3 linked regions of the Caenorhabditis elegans genome follow. The protein of the gene in region 2 purifies or fractionates together with the protein of the main gene of each other region. This does not show direct contact. Each region holds a gene or a part of one and is shown on either strand. Other genes may lie near its edges.

Evidence for each region.
Region 1: the proteins of sdz-8 (region 2) and C49A9.9 fractionate together in Caenorhabditis elegans (co-fractionation; one large-scale study listed by BioGRID). This does not show direct contact.
Region 3: the proteins of sdz-8 (region 2) and spig-1 fractionate together in Caenorhabditis elegans (co-fractionation; one large-scale study listed by BioGRID). This does not show direct contact.

Annotation. Positions count from the first base shown.
Region 1 is NC_003282.8:6,215,482-6,220,491, reverse strand, and holds C49A9.9 (FHA domain-containing protein), read right to left. Parts: upstream 3,121-5,010; 5' UTR 3,058-3,120; coding exon 2,803-3,057; intron 2,752-2,802; coding exon 2,627-2,751; intron 2,411-2,626; coding exon 1,868-2,410; exon of another isoform or gene 1,739-1,867; coding exon 1,495-1,738; intron 1,447-1,494; coding exon 1,327-1,446; 3' UTR 1,045-1,326; downstream 1-1,044. Other genes in the region: C49A9.4 (Cadherin domain-containing protein), read right to left, coding at 1-124, 177-307, 356-524, 681-766; C49A9.5 (DUF272 domain-containing protein), read right to left, coding at 4,348-4,497, 4,542-4,782, 4,831-5,010.
Region 2 is NC_003283.11:11,514,356-11,518,492, reverse strand, and holds sdz-8 (C-factor), read left to right. Parts: upstream 1-2,301; 5' UTR 2,302-2,314; coding exon 2,315-2,443; intron 2,444-2,494; coding exon 2,495-2,662; intron 2,663-2,825; coding exon 2,826-3,179; intron 3,180-3,238; coding exon 3,239-3,340; 3' UTR 3,341-3,407; downstream 3,408-4,137. Other genes in the region: C55A6.4 (DeHydrogenases, Short chain), read left to right, coding at 732-860, 915-1,082, 1,291-1,644, 1,689-1,790; C55A6.6 (DeHydrogenases, Short chain), read left to right, coding at 3,763-3,891, 3,939-4,106.
Region 3 is NC_003283.11:7,049,913-7,053,578, forward strand, and holds spig-1 (DUF4473 domain-containing protein), read left to right. Parts: upstream 1-1,802; 5' UTR 1,803-1,815; coding exon 1,816-1,879; intron 1,880-1,929; coding exon 1,930-2,207; 3' UTR 2,208-2,267; downstream 2,268-3,666. Other genes in the region: tofu-2 (Schlafen-like protein 2), read right to left, coding at 1-109, 158-254, 297-364, 411-859, 916-1,144, 1,313-1,315; txt-17 (transcellular chaperone signaling (x)cross tissue), read right to left, coding at 2,886-3,160, 3,213-3,285.

The sequences.
Region 1 (5,010 bases), on a different chromosome or scaffold from region 2:
TTTTATAGTTGGGTATCTTGAAATACCCTTTCGGGATAGTTTACTTCTTGGTTCTTCATAAAAGTTGGCTTCATCAATAACATCAGCACACAAGGTGATGTCACCCTTTTCTAATTGCCCCGTTCTGAACATTGATAAGATTTCCGAGTATTTCCTGGCGCCAAAAAGGTACTCACGCTTTGATAACAATATAATATCTTCCGGGAGATAAATTCTGATCAGATGATACTATTGGTCCAAAGTTTCTTGTGTTAAAAATTAAAGATCCATTGTTATCAAACGTTGCCTCTGCAGATGGAAATCTCAACTGAAAGGTTGAACGGATTTGAGGTTCCTCGCAGAAAAATCAACTTACATATGCCTCGTTTTGTACGACACTAACATTTTCATCATTAGGATGAGAGCATTTTTGGAATAACTTCAATGTTGTTTCATTAATCAAGCAGGCATTAAGAAAGTCGCCAAGATGAACATTGTTACGGTGTAATTCACTTTCGAGTACAGTATATTTTTTGTTATGAGGGCTGAAAAATATCAAAGAGTTCTATGTACAATTGTTAGTGTTTGATTTATATTCCTTCATATTTTTGCGAAAGTGTGTTTAAATGATATCAGAATTTTTAGCAACAACAATTTTAATGAGAAAAATTTTGTTATCGACTCGGACCATATGAAGTTACCTCAACCCAAATAAAATAATAACTGATCCACTATTCGCGTACACGCATCGGTTGACAGCAAAAAACGTAAGCGAATCTGAGGCCATCTGCGACAGAAATTATAAAATCAATACATGAAAGATAGGCAAAAAAAGTAGTTTTTCTTATCTTGAAAGTGGAATCAAACTTTTGGTTTGAAATTTTTGTGATTCGCGGTTTTCGGAAAAATGCTGCACGAGAAAGTCGTAACTGAAAACGCTTTTTGTGATAGGAAATAAATATTGAAAATGAGCATTGAAATATCAAGAGAACCAAACTTTAATATTTTTTATAAAATACACAAATAAAACTGTAGTTTTGATGATATGTATTTAGGAGATGTATTTTTTGCTTTATTAAATGTTGTCTATCCGCACTGTTTCAGATATTAGATTTTTAAAATTAAAAATCCTAGAACCATTCACAACACTTGAATAACTTAATTTTTTTTTAATATAGAAAGATTGACGGTGGAAAAATTGCTTACTTTTACAATTAAACATGAAAAAGCAAACGTAAATAAATTCTGAAACATAGAATGCCGCCTTAAAACACAATTAATTCAGAAGAAAAGAAGTAAAAAAGAATTTAAGTTAGTTAGAAAAGCTGATGTCCTTATTGTCACCAGTTACAAAATCTTAGTAACCATCCAAACATAGTCCTTCTCTCCAACTCCACGGCGTTCAATCTTGACGGTTTTTCCTATGCATCCAGCAGTTAATTTAGTTTCATCAGTGCTTCCTTCCAGCTAAAACATTTTTTGTCTTATAAATAGAACAGCTGATCGAAAACTCACCAATTCTCCGATGTACTTTGCTGTTCCAGTTGAGAATTTTTGATTGACTCCTGCCGGTGTAAATTTGGTTATTTTAACCGTCAAAAATAGTTTCTCTTTATCATTGATGCCGCCGTGCAAAAGCTCAGTTATTGGCCCTTTGTACTCTTTACAAACACATCTTCCATCTTCCTGTTTCTGGAAAGTTCCTTCAAAATGATGACCCAGTGCCAAAACATACTTTGTAGTTTTGAACAATCCTTCACTGAAAAATAGAAGTTTCAATTAACAAAAATTATTTCCGATGTTTCCATCGTGTGTCCAATGCCAAGTATACGAGATTCCCGATGGACATATCAAACATTGCTTGTGAAGTAAATTCAAACAAACTAACGTTTTTGAATCGAGATTCCACAAGTAATATAAACCAGGTCGTTTTTCGTCAATACTTGTGACAACGGCCCGCTGCTTTTCCTCTTTTGTTTGCGAAGTCGTAAATCCTTCGCCAACAATTTGTCCTGGCTTTTCAGAGTTTTTATCTTTTTTCGATGGTTGAAATCCAGTACCAACGATTTTTTCCTCCTTTTTGGGAGGTTTAGGAAATCCCGAGCCAGCAACTTTATTGTTGTTTGCCGGGGTTACCTGTTTTTGTGGAGATGGGAATCCGCTTCCCACCACTTTTGTATTTTGTTTTGGAGTTTGAGGCCGTTGGAATCCCTTTCCTACGACCGTCGAATTTGGTTTTGGCGATTCCGTTCTTGAAGCCGACGAGAATCCAGTTCCAACAATAGGTTCTGGTTTCTTAGCAGTAGTTGAAAATCCGGAGCCTACTTTTTGTCCGGAGTTTACAAACCTTTCGTTTGGTGCTTGAGCTGCAATGTCAACAGCTTCAAAATGAACAATTTTTCCAGGTATCATTTCGCGAGATGTATTTAATCTGAAAAAAAAATGTGATTCATTTATATCAGTCTTTCATTTTCGGTGCAAACAAGAAGCATATGACGCATAAATATACTCTCGAACTGATAACAAATTGTAAAAACCAACAATTCACCTTTCATGTTATTGTATTTTGCATTTCAATAAAATTCAAAGATTTTTCAAAATTTTTCACACAAAATTTCAACAAAATTGCAATAGAATTTCAACTTACAGTCTCATTGTGATGACGTATCTTCCTGTTTGTATTACAGGCCAGCATCGGATATCATCAAAAAGTGGGCATTGAAATAGCAAAAGTCCATTTTGAGAAATTAGGTTGACTTTGAGATTTACCACCTAAGAACGTGTATTGTTAATATTCATTTTAACAAGAACTCAAAAACTTACAATAGCTTCATCCCCGTTGATAACTGTTGAAATGTCTGCAGTATGTTTGGTTTGTGAAATTTCGTACAATTCTCTCGCTCTGTTGGTTCTGCATTTGAGAAAATCTCCAAGCTGAACTCTATAGTCTCTACGAAGTAATTCCTCATTCATCAAAAAACGCTGTCCAGACTTTGGATTGACTAGAATAAGCTGACCCTGGTCTCTTCGAGCAGCAAATAAAAAATACTGCGGATCTGGCATCGTGAAGTTGTTCATGTTTTTTTTTCAAATAAAATACTTTAGTGTTGTTTTTAGTGAACAAGGCTCAGGTTTCCCAATCTGAAATTGAAAATGTTTCTATTGATTACATTTCAGAAAAGAAAAAAGAACGAAAAGACAAATACATATAACGGGAAAGTCGAAAGAAAACTGATAACGCTACAACACTGTCATCGTTTTGGAAAGTTCAGTTTTATAGTTCATACTGCTCCGCCCATAACTTCCTCAGTCTTAAATTGTTGAATGTGGCGTTTATATCTGGAATAAACACAGTGATTCATTATTTGTAAAGAATCAATCATAAAAAGTTATTGTGGTTTTTGTGGAGCGTATACATGACGACTTTTCTGGTACTGTTTCTACAAGTTATTTATAAAACGTTGAAACAGCACATTTCATAATCGAAGTAAAACGTAGCATTACGGGGGATTACGTTGTACAAAATAATACATCCACTCGATGGGATTTTTTTCGAAGAATTTTCAACGCAACTTCTTATGCAAATAAATAAAACACAATCACATACATTTTAGAATAGTACTCCTTATATGCAATTGTGTCTTATTTTTCAATCTGAGTAAAAAATAAGATAAATTTCAACCGTTTCATGACTATGCATAGTGTTCAATTTATCAATTTTAAAGTTTCATCCCGTTTTCTATCGTTGACGCGTGACAAGTGATGAAATGCTCCTAACAGGAATGCGAATGGTGATTCATATGTTCTGAACTCTTAGTAAAAGTTTAATTTGCTGACACAGGTTTAACGTATTTTTCTGTTAGTTTTGCACTTATAAGGAATCGAAAAATAGTTTTTAAAAAATATAAATAGTTTTGCACAAAAAACTATTGATCCATTTTGGACATCATTTAAGATATTGTGAACATATTTTCATTGTTTTCACTGTCTCAAACAGGATCCGTCCAAAAAACCCCTCAAGAACCTTTAAAACTCTATAACTTTGATGTCGCTGATGAACCAACTTACCTTACTTGTAACTTACTTGTGTAATTTGACAACATTTCTGGAAGTTTCAAACAAAAAGCAACGCACTTAGTTTTCCAACTTTATAGATATAGGTATTAATATTCAATAAACATTATAAAGAAAAAACTTATATGTGATTCTTACTTTTACAATTAAACATGAACAAGCAAGGATTAAAATATTCTGAAACAGAAAATGTTTTTTGTCAAACAATACATTTCTGAATTTAAAGTAAAAAATAATATTTGAGGCCGTTGGAATCCTTTTCCAACGACCGTCGAAACATACATTTGAAGTTGATTAAAAGATTTTTTGGTCGTATTGGCTACAGTTACGAATCTCGGTAACCATCCAAACAAAGTCCTTCTCTCCAAATTTACGTCGTTCAATGTTGACCTTTTTTCCGATGCATTCAATTGTGAGTTTAGTGTCTTCCGTGTTTCCTTCTAACTAAAACTAGGATTTTGAATCAAGAAACTTGTGTAAAAACGTACCACATCTCCTATATATTTTGCAGTCCCACTTGCACGTCTTCTGTTAACCCCTGCTGGTTGAAAATCGAGCAGTTTAACAGTTAAATTCACCTTATTTGTATCATTCACTTTGCCTTCCAAAACTCGTTCTATTTCACCTATATATTCTTTGCAAAAGCATTTTCCATTTTCCTGGTTTACAAAAATTCCTGCAAATTGATGGCCTAATTCCAACGGGGTTGTTGATTTGAGCAAGCCTTCACTGAAAAATAATGCTGTCAGGTAAAAAAAATATTTTAAACAAACTAACGTTTTTGAATCGAGATTCCACAAGTAATATGTACCAGGTCGTTTTGCGTCGATACTTGTCACAACAGCTCTTTGCTTCTCTCCTATCGTTTGTGAAGTAGTAAATCCTTTGCCAACTGTTGAGCCTGGCTTTTCATTGTTTTTCTTTTGTTGCAATAATTCGGATCCGAAAACATTTTCT
Region 2 (4,137 bases):
TCAGGAGCCAAACCGTTCATTGATTGCCAATCAACTTGATGTCAACACTACAAGTGTAGTTTAAAAAAAAACATCAACTTTCCCTCCAGATGTGCTAGCATACAGAATGAGCAAGGCTGCAGTTAATATGTTTGGTAGAACATTGGCAATTGATCTGAAAGATGATCATATTTTGGTGGTCAACTTCTGTCCAGGATGGGTTCAAACTGGATTAGGAGGACCACTGGCTACCTACACTGTAAGTGATTCTTACACTTTAGCTCTTAATTTTCACAAATTTTGCTTTTAGGTTGAAGAATCAACAACAGAGTTAACTGCCAGTTTCTACAAACTAAACAACTCTCACAGTGGAAGATACTTTGACAGAAACCTCAATCCACACTCATTCTAAAAACATTGAGAGTTTTCTGTTTCTCAAACAGTCATAAAGTTATGTCATTTTTTTCATGATTCAAGACTTTTCAATCAGTCTCAATAAACGGATGACATTTTGTTTGTTTCCAGTTATCACTCTACACTTTTTTCTTTTTTCGGAAAATCAATGTCATCTATTTTCTGACCTTCGATCGCTGAGAATAAGTGTTTCGCGAGAAGATGCAAACTGTTTGTGTTTTAACGTGGAGATTTTTTTTGAACTATTTTTCCCGTGAGCTTTTATGTGGTGAATTTTGTTCCACGTTAACATGTCTTGTTATATTCCTTTCGATTAGTCTGATTTTTCGTCCTCAGTCATGTCTCCAAAAAGTGTTGTCATTACTGGAGCAAATCGTGGAATCGGACTTGGACTTGTTCAAGAATTCGTGAAAGATAAGAATATTCGTCATATTATTGCAACTGCTAGAGATGTTGAGAAAGCAACAGTAAGTTAATTTTTTTTTCAATGTCTGATATTTCGGGCACAAAAAACGTTTCAGGATTTGAAAGCAATTAGTGATCCTCGTGTTACTGCTCTCCAATTGGAAGTTACTTGTGATAAATCAATGGATACTTTTGTCTCAAAAGTTGAAGAAATTGTTGGATCTGATGGACTTAACCTGCTTGTCAATAATGCGGGAAACGCGGTGGATTATCCATGTAAAGCGGTATGTTTAAAAAAAGTTCGGGTACAAGATTAAATTAGGAAATGGATTAGTTGACTATTTCCAAAGCTCACTAACAGTGAAGATTTGTCAACGTGTTGTCCAATTTTTTCTGAAAGTTTTCAAACACAATCAATTTTACATTATTCGGGTGATAGTCGGGGAAGAAATACACAGATATAATTTATCCATTAAAATATCAAATTTTCAGAAACCAAACCGTGCACTGTTTGCCGAGCAGCTGAATGTGAACACGACCAGTGTGGTTATTCTCACTCAAAAACTGATGCCACTTCTCATCAAGGCATCCTCAAAAGTGTCTGGAGATCAACTTTCCGCTTCACGTGCTGCTGTAGTCACTATCTCATCTGGACTTGCATCAATGACTGATTTTGCCACAGGAGGCCATGCTCCAAATGCATTTGCTTACAGAATTAGCAAAGCTGCCATTAATATGTTTGGTAGAGCTCTTGCAAATGATATGAAAGATGATCATATTCTGGTAGCCAGTATTGGTCCTGGATGGGTGAAGACTGATATGGGAGGAGAGAAGGCCCTTTTGACGGTGAGCTTAGAAAGTTTTAAAATATAAATTAAATTAATTTCCAGGTTGAACAATCAACTGCCGAACTAGTGGCCAGCTTCAACAAGCTCAACAATTCTCACAATGGAGGATTCTTCCAAAAAGATCTCACACCGTATCCTTTTTAAGTGCATTTCTCGAAATACTCGTTTTCAAATAGGTTTTTCTCAATTCCAAAAAAATTAAATCCAAAACCACAAAATTTTGTGACCACTTTTTGTGACGAAAGATCAATTTGATTCAAAGCGTCCAATTGTTTAGTTTATTTCTATTGTAGATTCAATAAAAGTTTATGTAGTTTTTCTTGTATTTCAAAACATGTTTATTTTATTTTCTAAATATCGGCATATTTATTTGTTTTTCTAAATATAAATGTCTTCGTATTTACTTCAATACGGTGTAACTACAATGTCACTACGATGCCCGCGTCTCTCCAGCTGTCGCTATTTAGTCATCTATTTTACTCCAATGTCATCATTTTCGCTGTGGTCTCCTACATTTTGACCCTGGTGTTCTCCGTATATAAGAGACTTTTCTATATAGAAAAACAGATTTTGTGTCTTCAAATATCTCAAGCTTGTTTCTGCTTTTTTAATCATGGAAACAATAGTTTTGTTCTCAAATTATTCACTTTTACAGAAAATTTAAAAAAATGTCGCCAGGAAGTGTTGTTGTGACCGGAGCCAACCGTGGTATTGGACTTGGACTTGTCCAGCAACTCGTCAAAGATAAGAACATTCGTCATATTATTGCAACTGCTAGAGACGTTGAGAAGGCTACTGTAAGTTTTTTTTTCTACAAGTGAGCTAGTCATCCCAAAGTGTTTTTTTAGGAATTGAAATCTATTAAAGATTCACGTGTTCATGTACTTCCATTGACAGTCACTTGTGATAAATCACTTGACACTTTTGTGTCGAAAGTTGGAGAAATTGTTGGATCTGATGGGCTCAGCTTGCTGATAAATAACGCTGGAGTTCTGCTGAGCTACGGAACGAATACGGTACGTTATGATAGTTACATGTTATTTTTTCTTTGATTGTTTTTAAAAGTTGTTCAGTATTTGATTATTAACTAAAAAATAAGAATTTCGATTTCATTCAAAAGTATATTTCATTAGACATTTATGCATCTTATAATAATTATTAATATGGCCAATTTTGAAGGAGCCTAACCGTGCCGTCATCGCCGAACAACTAGATGTAAATACGACTAGTGTGGTCCTTCTCACTCAAAAGTTATTACCACTGCTCAAAAATGCAGCATCCAAAGAATCTGGAGATCAACTTTCCGTTTCACGTGCTGCTGTAATCACTATCTCATCTGGACTTGGTTCCATCACTGACAACACATCTGGATCTGCACAATTCCCAGTTCTCGCCTACAGAATGAGCAAAGCTGCTATCAATATGTTCGGAAGAACTCTTGCTGTTGACTTGAAGGATGATAATGTGTTGGTTGTTAACTTCTGTCCAGGATGGGTGCAAACCAATTTAGGAGGGAAGAATGCAGCACTCACGGTAAGTAAACGAATCGATTAATTATCAGTTTAGAAATTGTTATTCCGATCATTTTTCAGGTTGAACAATCCACCGCCGAGCTGATTTCCAGTTTCAATAAGCTTGACAACTCTCACAATGGAAGATTCTTTATGAGAAATTTGAAGCCATATGAATTCTAAAATCTTTTTATTTTTTTCCCACCTTTTTTGCATCGGAAGTTAATTGAAAATAAACAAACTAAAATTACCTTTTGTCGTTGTCGAAAACCAGTTTCTTACTATGGTAAATTGCCATGAAAACTATTTTCATCAATTTTCAATGTTTGTGTGCAATTTACAATTGGAAAATGAACTAGGAAAGCCATTTCAATAATTTTTTGTGGGAAGTGTTTGTTTCCTTTTGACTACAAACGAACTACAGATTTTGTTTCATTTTCTGTGCCTCTTCCTCTATTTCTATTTACTTTGTTGCTCGTCTATGCCATTTTTTGAGACTTTCTGTTGCCTCTTCCTTTCCGATCTTTGACCAATTTTGTATACAAGTTCAATTAGTTCTCCCCAAAGACAGTCTGATTAATTAAATTCAGGTATTCAGGTTCATTATGTCTCCAAAAAGTGTTGTCATTACTGGAGCAAATCGTGGAATCGGACTTGGACTTGTTCAAGAATTCGTGAAAGATAAGAATATTCTTCATATTATTGCAACTGTTAGAGATGTTGAAAAGGCTACTGTAAGTGATTATTACATTTTGAGCTAAATATTATTCTCAATATTCAGGATTTAAAAGCTATCAATGATCCACATGTTCATGTTCTTCCATTGATAGTAACTTGTGATAAATCAATTGATTCTTTTGTGACAAAAGTTGAAGAAATAGTTGGATCTGATGGACTCAATTTACTTGTCAACAACGCGGGAATTGCTGTCAAATATCTCACAAAAACTGTACGTTTTGAAAATGTATGACATTCTTCAG
Region 3 (3,666 bases), 4.5 Mb from region 2:
TCACTCCCACCGGGATAACTTCGAGAATGGAGACTTTGATACGACATAGCGGACTGCATGGTTTAAAATTTTCACACATGTGTCGCAGAGAACCGAAGAAATGGTATATCTGAAAATCCAACTAGCTAATTGTGCGTTTTTATTATTAAAAACTAGCCATGTTCTTGCTCATCGAAATTCCTTTAATAACTTTATCATCGTTGACACCCAGAAAAAGCCGTCCACCGTCAGTGTTCAGAAATGCGCAAATTGTTCTGAAATCTATATTTATTTTTTGGCTCCAGAAACACCCATACTTGCTGATCGGCTGAAGAGTTCTTCGAATAGATCCATCCTTGTCCTGCTTGCATTGAGTCCTCTTTAGCTGTAAATTGAAAATTCAAAAACCTTTATTTTCCACTTTAAATTACTTCAGTGAGCATCAGTTTGGTATGCATTCTGAACTCATTATGAACATCTTCTTCTACTGCAAACGGTAGTTTCACCACTACATGTTCGAATGAGTTTTGCTCCTCATAGCTCCACCAATTCACATTTTCATTTGGAGCATCGGAAACCGCAGTAAACTGATTTCCCGGGGGAAATTTGAACGGTTGAGATCCAAAGTTGACTGAGAGGCTTGAGTTTTGACATAAGACCGCCGGGAAGAGACACGTGTTCGAGTTTTTGTATTTCACATCGATGGAAAAAGCGGCGGGAAATTGTTCTCCATTTTTTGACCACCAGATGGTACGGGAATCCAGGTCAAGATAGCAACCGATCACATCGTTCAGAGTGAATGGGAGACCATAATCATCGAACTTTTTGTGGGTTGACTTCATTCCAGTCCCACCATAACCGAAACTATCCAGTCCTTTACCTGGAACATTTTAATTGGAATAAAGAATAATTTTGCACAATGCAAAAAAGTATTACCAATATTCAAACTTCCACCGAGAGTAGCCCAGCCAACTCTGCACAGTCCTTTACTTGTAATTGTAACTTCATAGTAATACTTTCCATTTCCATATAATCCGGCTGTTCCACGTGCTCCGAGCCATCTTTTCTTCACTTCACTTTTGCAGGCTAATCCAGTTTCATCAATTTCGAGATGAAGATCTTGATCCTGCTTGTTCAGTTTGGATTCACGTGGACTTGTGTCGGCCTGAAAAATAATATGTAGCATTAAACAGCACACCGGAATTTTTTGTTGAATATATTTATTTTAACTAATAGTGAGATTTAAAAATGCTAAAATTAGCGGAATATTAGAAGAGAAACTTTTAAAAAACTATAAATTTATTTTCTGATTCTAAAAATATTTAAAACTTACCATTTTTCAATGACCAGGCACGGAAGAGTTGAAATTTTAATTACGAAAATTAAAAAAAAATTATCTCGCGAAAAATGCACAACGATGCTCCATCGTTACGCGGCGCGTGTTGTTTAGCCGATAGAAAATGGAGGGAATTTCAAATAAATTTTTTGATGAAAAAATTATTTTCATACCACAAAAAATATTAAAACATCAGATTTAACAGAAAGTTCAGTTACACATTTTTTGAAAAGTTCGAAACTGAAATCGTTTGATCCTCCGCAATTGATGCGAATGTCTATGAATTGAACTGTTGGGCAACAAATCATAAACTGAAAAAACCATGTTGTAGTGAGAGTGTGTGTAGTCCAATTCAATATTCAAACCGGATTTTAGAACCAATCGTTTTTGTGTCAAATGTGCCTTGCCACTAATCACCACTACGTGTCGTCACAATTCGATTCGTATAAATAGTCGACAGGTTGTAGTAATTTCAATTCAATTCACTTCCAACTTTCAAAATGTGCAAACTTTTCGTCGCCGTTGCCCTTCTCGCTGTCGTTTATGCTCATCAAATGCCATCAGGTAGAAGTTTTTCATTTCAACGTTCTTCTTAAAACCCTTATAATTTTAAGCTGATGAGATGAAGGCCAAGCTCGTTGAGGGTGGAGTCTCCGAGGCTGCTGCCGCTGGACTCGTTGAAATCGGAGATAAGTACAAGAGCCAATTCCAGGCTCTCACCAAGGGAGATCATGAAGCTGGAAAGAAAGTTTTCGATAGCATGAAGTCCGAGTCTGATGCCTACATCGCCACCCAATCTGAAGCTGATCAGACCGCTTACAAAGCATTCGTTGAGAAGGCCAAGGAGCACTTCCAAGCTCACAAGGAAGCTGCTGCTGCCGAAAGTGCTTAAATATCAATTTTTTTGAATATGGAACCATTTTTTATTTGAAAATAAAACTTTAATTTCGCGAATCATTCCATATGTGCTTCATCCAGACATAAGACTACAGTAACGGGTGAAATATCGAGAACAACCCAATCTTTTTCCCTTGTTTTAAAAACCTACCTACCTACCTATCTACCTACCTACTTACTCTATCTATCTATGTAAACGTATTAAATAATAATAATAGTAATAATAATGATACTAAGCTATTCCATGTTCCTAATTTTGCTAATAGCTCAGACTTAAAACGATAAATAGCTGGAATAATAGTTACAGAAGCGAAAATAATATCAAGTTTCAACCTGGTATTTATTAACACAGGGTGGGCGTCATTGCAGGCACCAACAGGTCTACAAGTTACCTTCAGGTCAATAATAACTGGACTTGAAATAGATGTATCATTACCGTGTTATGCTCCGGCCCGAATAAACGTTTTTTCACGGTTTGTCAAAATGTACTTCTCCTTCGCGGCGATCAGGGTTTGTCTTTTAGGCATGTAGGTAGGCATGCTTTTCTTATGGCAGGTTCTAATTTTTACAAGAGACTTGTCAACATTTCAAACAGAAAATTCGATTCATTCAATACAAAAAGTCAAGGGAAAATGTATATATGTGCATTTCGAGCAACAACATCAGAAAATATTTAGTGAGCTGGAGTAGAGTGGTGTCCCTCGAATTCCTTCTTCTTAGACTCGATATAGGTGGCATAAGCTTTCTGATCAGCTTCTGGTTGAGTCTTGATGTAGGCATCCGTGTCAGTCTTGATCTCCTCGAAAACCTTCTTTATTGCTTCCTTATCGTCCTTGTTATCCTTGAGAGCTTCGAGTTGAGTCTTGTACTTCTCGGCAACCTCGACGATTCCTGCGGCAGAAGTCTCCGAGAGCCCAGCGGCGACAAGTTGAGCTTTCACCTCCTCGGCTGAAAATCAGATTCAGAGTTTTTCAAAGTTCAAAATATAAAAATTTCCTACCACTTGGTGGTACTGGTGGAGCAGCATAGATGGCAACAGCGAGAAGTGCAACGGCGACGAAGAGTTTGCACATTTTCTGAACAAATATTAATTTTTTATTTTGATGAGATACAGAAAGAAGATGCTTGCGAAAAGAACATATGAAACCAAACTTAAAAAATGATGATGTTATTTTCAGAGCTATCAGCACGGTTTTTATACATCCAAATTGAGATCGGTTCTAGGCGGAGACACATAACTGGTTTGTAATTTGTTACGCTTTCGAATTGAAAAAATATCCGTGCCTGTGGTTCTCTACGGCAATTATCTAGAGGGGAATAGTTCGAAAACAGGGAAAACGGTTAGATATTTTGATGTCTATCGGGTTATGGCACAACGTTTATCTCGAAGTGTTTTCGGAAAGTGTGAATCACGAGAATGACGTTTTATAGTATTCAATCAACATGAAAATTTT